Lonchura striata: one gene and its partner. The protein of the gene in region 2 purifies or fractionates together with the protein of the main gene of each other region. This does not show direct contact. Links are inferred from orthologs where the notes say so. Each region holds a gene or a part of one and is shown on either strand. Other genes may lie near its edges.

Evidence for each region. The genes of interacting proteins can lie anywhere in the genome.
Region 1: the proteins of MAPK7 (region 2) and PFDN6 purify together in Homo sapiens (affinity purification with mass spectrometry; 3 studies listed by BioGRID and IntAct, with this or other methods). This does not show direct contact. The link is inferred for Lonchura striata from reciprocal best matches to the Homo sapiens genes MAPK7 and PFDN6.

The regions. Positions count from the first base shown.
Region 1 is NC_134631.1:621,996-625,742, reverse strand, and holds the start of PFDN6 (prefoldin subunit 6), read right to left. Parts: upstream 3,007-3,747; 5' UTR 2,967-3,006; coding exon 2,910-2,966; intron 1,805-2,909; coding exon 1,723-1,804; intron 1-1,722. UniProt on the Homo sapiens protein: Binds specifically to cytosolic chaperonin (c-CPN) and transfers target proteins to it. Binds to nascent polypeptide chain and promotes folding in an environment in which there are many competing pathways for nonnative proteins.
Region 2 is NC_134637.1:104,184-107,930, reverse strand, and holds the start of MAPK7 (mitogen-activated protein kinase 7), read right to left. Parts: upstream 2,370-3,747; 5' UTR 2,215-2,369; intron 993-2,214; 5' UTR 948-992; coding exon 344-947; intron 1-343. UniProt on the Homo sapiens protein: Plays a role in various cellular processes such as proliferation, differentiation and cell survival. The upstream activator of MAPK7 is the MAPK kinase MAP2K5.

The DNA of each region.
Region 1 (3,747 bases), on a different chromosome or scaffold from region 2:
CCAAAATCGGGGTTCATGGGGACCCCAAAATCCCCCCAAAAACGGGTCAGGGGAACCCCAAAATCCCCCCAAAATTTTGGGGGGATTTTGGAGGATCCCAGGGGGGATTTTTGGGGTGATTTTTGGGGGTTTTTTTGGGGTTCCCAGGGCAGATTTTTGGGGTGATTTTTGGGGGGATTTTTGGGGGGATTTTTGGGGTTCCCAGGGCAGATTTTTGGGGTGATTTTTGGGAATTTTTGGGGGGATTTTTGGGGTTCCCAGGGCAGATTTGTTGGGTGATTTTGGGGGATTTTTGGGGTGACTTTGGGGGTTCCCAGGGCAGATTTTTGGGGTGATTTTTGGGGTGATTTTGGGGTTCCCAGGGCAGATTTTTGGGGTGATTTTGGGGGATTTTTGGGGGGATTTTTGGGGTTCCCAGGGCAGATTTTTGGGGGTATTTTTGGGGTTCCCAGGGCAGATTTTTGGGGGGATTTTTGGGGGCATTTTTGGGGTTCCCAGGGCAGATTTTTGGGGTTCCCAGGAGGATTTTTTGGGTGATTTTGGGGCTCCCAGGAGGAATTTTTTGGGGTGATTTTTGGGGTTCCCAGGGCAGATTTTTTGTGGTGATTTTGGCAGATTTTGGGGGTGATTTTGGGTGATTTTTGGGGTGATTTTGGGGGTTCCCAGGAGGATTTTTGGGGTGATTTTGGGGGTTCCCAGGGCAGATTTTTGGGGTGATTTTGGGGGATTTTTGGGGGAATTTTGGGGTTCCCAGGGCAGATTTTTGGAGTAATTTTGGGGCTCCCAGGAGGAATTTTTTGGGGTGATTTTGGGGGTTCCCAGGGCAGATTTTTTGGGGTGATTTTGGCAGATTTTGGGGGTGATTTTGGGGGTTCCCAGGGCAGATTTTTGGGGTGATTTTGGGTGATTTTTGGGGTGATTTTGGGGGTTCCCATGGCAGATTTTTGGGGTGATTTTGGGGGATTTTTGGGGGAATTTTGGGGTTCCCAGGGCAGATTTTTGGGGTGATTTTGGGGCTCCCAGGAGAAATTTTTTGGGGTGATTTTGGGGTTCCCACGGCAGATTTTTGGGGGGATTTTGGGGGATTTTTGGGGTGACTTTGGGGGTTCCCAGGGCAGATTTTTGGGATAATTTTGGGGCTCCCAGGAGGAATTTTTTGGGGTGATTTTGGGGTTCCCAGGGCAGAATTTTGTGGGGTTTTTTGGGGTGAATTCAGGGGTTCCCAGGGCAGATTTTTGGGGTGATTTTGGCAGATTTTGGGGGTGATTTTGGGTGATTTTTGGGATGATTTTGGGGTTCCCAGGGCAGATTTTTGGGGTGATTTTGGGGGATTTTTGGGGTAATTTTGGGGCTCCCAGGGCAGATTTTTGGGGTGATTTTAGGGGTTCCCAGGGCAGATTTTTGGGGTGATTTTAGGGGTTCCCAGGGCAGATTTTTTGTGGTGATTTTGGCAGATTTTGGGGGTGATTTTGGGTGATTTTTGGGGTTCCCAGGGCAGATTTTTGGGGTGATTTTGGGTGATTTTTGGGGTGATTTTGGGGCTCCCAGGGCAGATTTTTTGTGGTGATTTTGGGTGATTTTTGGGGTGATTTTGGGGTTCCCAGGGCAGATTTTTTGTGGTGATTTTGGCAGATTTTGGGGGTGATTTTGGGTGATTTTTGGGGTGATTTTGGGGCTCCCAGGGCAGATTTTTGGGGTGATTTTGGGGGATTTTGGGCTCACCTTTCTGCAGCTGTTGGTATTTCTCCAGCTCCGCCTGGAGCTTCTTCTGCAGCGGCTCCGCCATGGGGGCGATTTTGGGGGGCTGGGGGGGAATTTGGGGGCGATTTTGGGGGGCTGGGGGGGGTTTGGGGTCACCCCCCGCACCCCCAAAATCTCCCGTGACCCCTCAGAGACCCCCCCCAAAAAAAACAAAATCCAGGAGCCCCCAAAAAATCCAAAGCCCCAAAAATCCCAAATTCCCAAAAATCCAAACCCCACCCAGGACACCCCAAATTCCCCTCGAGACCCCCAAATTCCCCTCGGGACCCCCCCAAAATCCCCTTAAGACCCCCCAAATTCCTCTGGGGACCCCCAAATTTCCCTCAGGACCCCCAAATTCTCCTCGAGACCCCCCAAAATCCCCTCGGGACCCCCCAAAATTCATTCAGGACCCCCAAAATCCCCTCAAGGCCCCCAAATTCTCCTCGGGACCCCCCAAAATCCCCTCGGGACCCCCAAAATTCATTCAGGACCCCCAAAATCCCCTCAAGGCCCCCAAATTCTCCTCGGGACCCCCCAAAATCTCCTCGGGACCCCCCAAAATCCGCTCGGGACCCCCAAAATCCTCTGAGGTCCCCCAAAATCCCTTGGGAACCCCCAAAATTCCTCTCTGGATCCCCAAAATCCCCTCGGGACTCCCCAAAATTCTACTCGAGACCCCCAAAATCCCCTCGGGATCCCCAAAATCCCTTTGGGACCCCCCAAAATCCCCTCAGGACCCCTCAAAAATTCATTCAGGACCCCCAAATTCTCCTCAGGACCCCCAAAACCCCTCCCAAGACCCCCAAAATCCTCTCGGGACCCCCAAAATCCTCAGGGGACCCCCAAATTCCCCTCGTAACCACCCAAACCCCTTCAGGATCCCCAGATTCCCCTCGGGACCCCCGAAAACCCACTCGGGACCCCCAAAATCCCCTCGAGACCCCCAAAAATCCTTCCGGGACCCCCAAAATTCCCCCCAGAACCCCCAAATTCCCTCGCGGCCCCCCCTCAAATCTCCTCCTGCCCCACCCAAACCCCCCCAAGGCCCCTCCAGGACCCCCCCGCATTCCCAGGGGGACCCCAAGACCCTCCCGGGACCCCCAAAAATCCCCAAAATCCCCAAAAATCCCCCCAAAATCCCCCCTCGCCCCCCCCCCGTTCTTCACCCTCCGCTCCGCGCGCGGCCCCAACGCCTCGAGCCACGCCCCCTCCGCTCTGCGCATGCGCCGCAGCCCCAAACCACGCCCCCTCCTCTAAGCCCCGCCCACCGCCCCGTTTATGCTAATTATCCCGCCGTGGCCACGCCCCCTCCCCGCGCGCCGCCCGCCGCCCGAGCGCGCCCCCCCCCCCTCCCCCGGGGGTGGATTTTGGGGCGGATTTGGGGGTTTTTGGGGCCCGCCGGAGGTGAGAGGAGCGCGGGGAGGGCTGCGGGATGGGCCCGAGGCGGCGCAGGTGGCGGCGGAGGGCGGCCCGGGCGGCGCTGGCGGCGCTGGCGCTGGCGCTGCTGTGGCTGCAGGGCAGCGGCGCGGGCGAGGAGCTGCTGGCGGCGGCCCTGGCGGCCTGCGAGGAGGGGCGGGGGGCGTGGGGGGCGTGGGGGGACGGGGGAAAGCGGGGGGTGGGCGTGGGGGGCGCGGGGGGTGGGAGTTGGGGGGGCGAGGGGGTGAATGGGGGGCGTGGGGACGGGGGGGCGTGGCTTGGGGGAGAGGGGGCGTGGCTTGGGGGAGAAGGGGCGTGGCTTGGGGGAGAGGGGGCGTGGCTTGGGGAGGGGGGCGCGGGGGTTGGGGATGAGCGGGGGGGCGCTGGGAAATGGGGGCCGGGGGTCCTGAACGGCAGCTCGAGGGTCGAGGGTTGGGCTGGAAATGGGGGTCCCGGGGGTAGAATTGGGGGTCCTGCAGGTGGAAATGGGGGTCCCGGGGATAGAATTGGTGGTCCTGCAGTTGGAATTGGGGGTCCTGCAGTTGGAGTTGGGGGTCCGGGGGTTGGAATTGGGGGTCCCGGGGTTGG
Region 2 (3,747 bases):
GCCCCCAGGTGCATTTTGAGTGCCCCCAGGTGTATTTTGGGTGTCCCCAGGTGTATTTTGGGTGCCCCCAGGTGTATTTTAGGTGCCCCCAGGTGCATTTTGAGTGCCCCCAGGTGTATTTTGGGTGCCCCCAGGTGTATTTTGGGTGTCCCCAGGTGTATTTTGGGTGCCCCCAGGTGTATTTTAGGTGCCCCCAGGTGCATTTTGAGTGCCCCCAGGTGTATTTTGGGTGCCCCCAGGTGTATTTTGGGTGCCCCCAGGCGCCCCCAGGTGTATTTTGGGTGCCCCCAGGTGTATTTTGGGTGCCCCCAGGTGTATTTCGGGCGCGGCCCAGGCCTCTCACCGGTGTCGCGCCGCCGGGCCGAGCTGACCACGCCGTAGGCGCCGGTGCCGATGGTCTCGATGACCTCGTAGTCGTCGCCGACGTCGAAGGTGACGTCGAGCGCCCGCGCCTTCAGCAGCGCCAGCGGCCCCGGCGCCTCGGGGGCGTGGTCTGCGCCCGGGGGGGCGTGGTCTGGGCCATGGGGGGCGTGGTCTGTGCCATGGGGGGCGTGGTCTGGGCCATGGGGGGCGTGGTCTGTGCCATGGGGGGCGTGGCCTGTACCATGGTGGGCGTGGTCTGTGCCATGGGGGGCGTGGCATGTGCCATGGGGGGCGTGGCATGTGCCATGGGGGGCGTGGCCTGGGCCATGGTGGGTGTGGTCTGGCACATTGGGGGCGTGGTCTGGCACATGGTGGGCGTGGTCTGGCACATGGTGGGCGTGGCCTGTGCCATGGGGGGCGTGGTCTGGCACATGGTGGGCGTGGTCTGGCACATGGTGGGCGTGGCCTGTGCCATGGTGGGCGTGGCCTGGGCCATGGTGGGCGTGGCCTGGCACATGGGGGGCGTGGTCTGGCACATGGGGGGCGTGGCCTGTTCCGTCAGGGGCGGGGCCCGGCTCGGCCATGGCGCCGGCGCGGGTGGGATCGGTTGGGGGAGGGGGAGGAGTCACCTGAAAAAAGCGAAAATCACCCCAAAAAAATCGTCTGGGATCGGCGGGGATCCTCCCCCAGTTCGTCCCAGTTCATCCCGGTTCCCTCCCAGTTATGCCGGGACCTCCCCTAAACCCGTCCCAGTAAAGCCCAGTTCTGTCCCAGTCCCACCCAGTCCACCCCAGTCCATCCCAGTTCACCCGGTTTGCCTCCAGTTCCTCCCAGTTCCCTCCCAGTCTATCCCAGTTCCCTCCCAGTCCCTCCATGTCCATCCCAGTTCATCCCAGTTCATCTCAGTCCCCTCCCAGTCTGTCCCAGTTACTCCAGGACCCCCCTTAACCCCTCCCAGTTCTCCCAGTTCCCTTCCCAGTTACCCCAGTTCCCATCCAGTTCCCTCCCAGTCCCTCCCAGTTTATCCCAGCCCCTCCCAGTTCCCTCCCAGTCCCTCCCCTTTCCCTCCCAGTTCACTCCCAGTCCCCCCCAGTTCCCTCCCAGTTTATCCCAGTTCCCTCCCAGTCCCTCCCAGTTCCCTCCCAGTCCCTCCGTGTCCATCCCAGTTCATCCCAGTCCCCTCCCAGTCTGTCTCAGTTACTCCAGGACCCCCCTAAACCCTCCCCAGTTCTCCCAGTCCCTCCCAGTTCCTCCATGTCCATTCCAGTCCCTCCATGTCCATCCCAGTTTATCCCAGTCCCCCCCAGTCCATCCCAGTTCACCCAGTTTGCCTCCAGTTCCCTCCCAGTTCCCTCCCAGTCCCTCCGTGTCCATCCCAGTCCCCTCCCAGTCCTTCCCAGTTCCCCCCCAGTCCATCCCAGTTTATCCCAGTCCCCCCCAGTCTCTCCCAGTTTATCCCAGTTCCCTCCCAGTCCTTCCCAGTCCCTCCCAGTTTATCCCAATCCCATCCCAGTCTCCCCCAGTCTCTCCCAGTTTATCCCAGTCCCCCCCAATACCATCCCAGTCTCCCCCAATCCCATCCCAGTCTCTCCCAGTTTATCCCAGTCTCTCCCAGTTTATCCCAATCCCATCCCAGTCTCCCCCAATCCCTCCCAGTTTGTCCCAGTTTATCCCAGTTCCCCCCAGTCCCTCCCGTCCCCCCCCCCGGGGGCCGTTGCCATGGCGACCCCGCGGCTCTTCCCTCTCCCCCCCCCGCGCTCTTACCGCCCCCGCCGCCCCTCCCGCCGCTCCCGCCGGGCCCGGGAAGCGGCGCCGCCCGGCCCCGCCCCCTGCGCCGCTTCCGGGACGCACTTCCGGCCTCCCCGCGGCGGTTCCGGCCTCGGAGGATTTCCGCGGCGCCCGGGGATTTTTGGGGAACTTTTCCCGCTCGTCCGGGCGGCTTTGGAGGAATTTTGGGTCATCGCCGTGGTGTTTAAAGGATTTCCGGTTGGTTCTGTGGAACTTCCGGGTTCTCTCCATGGCGGACTTCCGGTTGGTCTCGACGGTTCCATGGAACTTCCGGCTCGTCTCTGTGGTGCTTCCCATTCATCTCTATGGGCAGGCTCTGGTCGCTCCTGCGCATGCGCGGCCGCCGTGAGGGATCTACCATTCATCTCTATTGATGGCTCTGGTCGCTCCTGCGCATGCGCGGCCGCTATGAGTGACCTCCCATTCATGTCTATTGACGGCTCTGGTCGCTCCTGCGCATGCGCGGTCTCCATTAGGGACCTCCCATTCATGTCTATGGACGGCTCTGGTCGCTCCTGCGCATGCGCGGTGTCCATTAGGGTCCTCCCATTCATGTCTATGGACGGCTCTGGTCGCTCCTGCGCATGCGCGGTGTCCATTAGGGACCTCCCATTCATGTCTATGGACGGCTCTGGTCGCTCCTGCGCATGCGCGGTGTCCATTAGGGACCTCCCATTCATGTCTATTGACGGCTCTGGTCGCTCCTGCGCATGCGCAGCCGCCATGAGGGACCGGACGCGGGAACTGCGCCAGGCGAGAGCCCAGAAAAATGGGGAAAAAAAAGGAAAAAACGGGGAAAAAAGCCAAAAAGCGGGAAAAGGAGCCCGGAATCGGGATGGGGGAAGGCGGAAATGGAGGAGGGAGTGAGGAAAAAGGGGGAAGAGCCCAGAAATTGGGGAAGAAAGGGCGAAAATGGGAGCGGGGAGCTCGGGAATGGCGAAAAGTGGGAAAAAGATGTGAAAATGTGGGAAAAAAGCACAAAGAAACGGGTTGGGAGGCCAGAAATGCGGGAAATGAGGGAAAAAGTCGGAAATGAACCCAAAAATTGGGAAAAGAGCCCAAAAAATCAGGAAAAAGAGCGAAAATCAGGAAATAAACCCAAAAATCAGGAGAATGAAGTCAAAAATTGGGAAAATGTTTCTAAAAAAATGGGGAAAAGAGTTCAAAAATTGGGAAAAGAGCCCAAAAATTAGGTGAAGAGTCTAAAAACCAGGAAAAAGAGGCGAAAATCAGGAAATAAACTCAAAAATCAGGAGAATGAACTCAAAAATTGGAAAAATGTTTCCAAAAAAAATGGGGAAAAGAGTTCAAAAATTGGGAAAAGAGCCCAAAAATTAGGCGAAGAGTCTAAAAACCAGGAAAAAGAGGCGAAAATCAGGAAATAAACCCAAAAATCAGGAGAATGAACTCAAAAATTGGAAAAATGTTTCCAAAAAAAATGGGGAAAAGAGTTCAAAAATTGGGAAAAGAGCCCAAAAATTAGGCGAAGAGTCTAAAAACCAGGAAAAAGAGGCGAAAATCAGGAAATAAACCCAAAAATCAGGAGAATGAACTCAAAAATTGGAAAAATGTTTCCAAAAAAAATGGGGAAAGAGT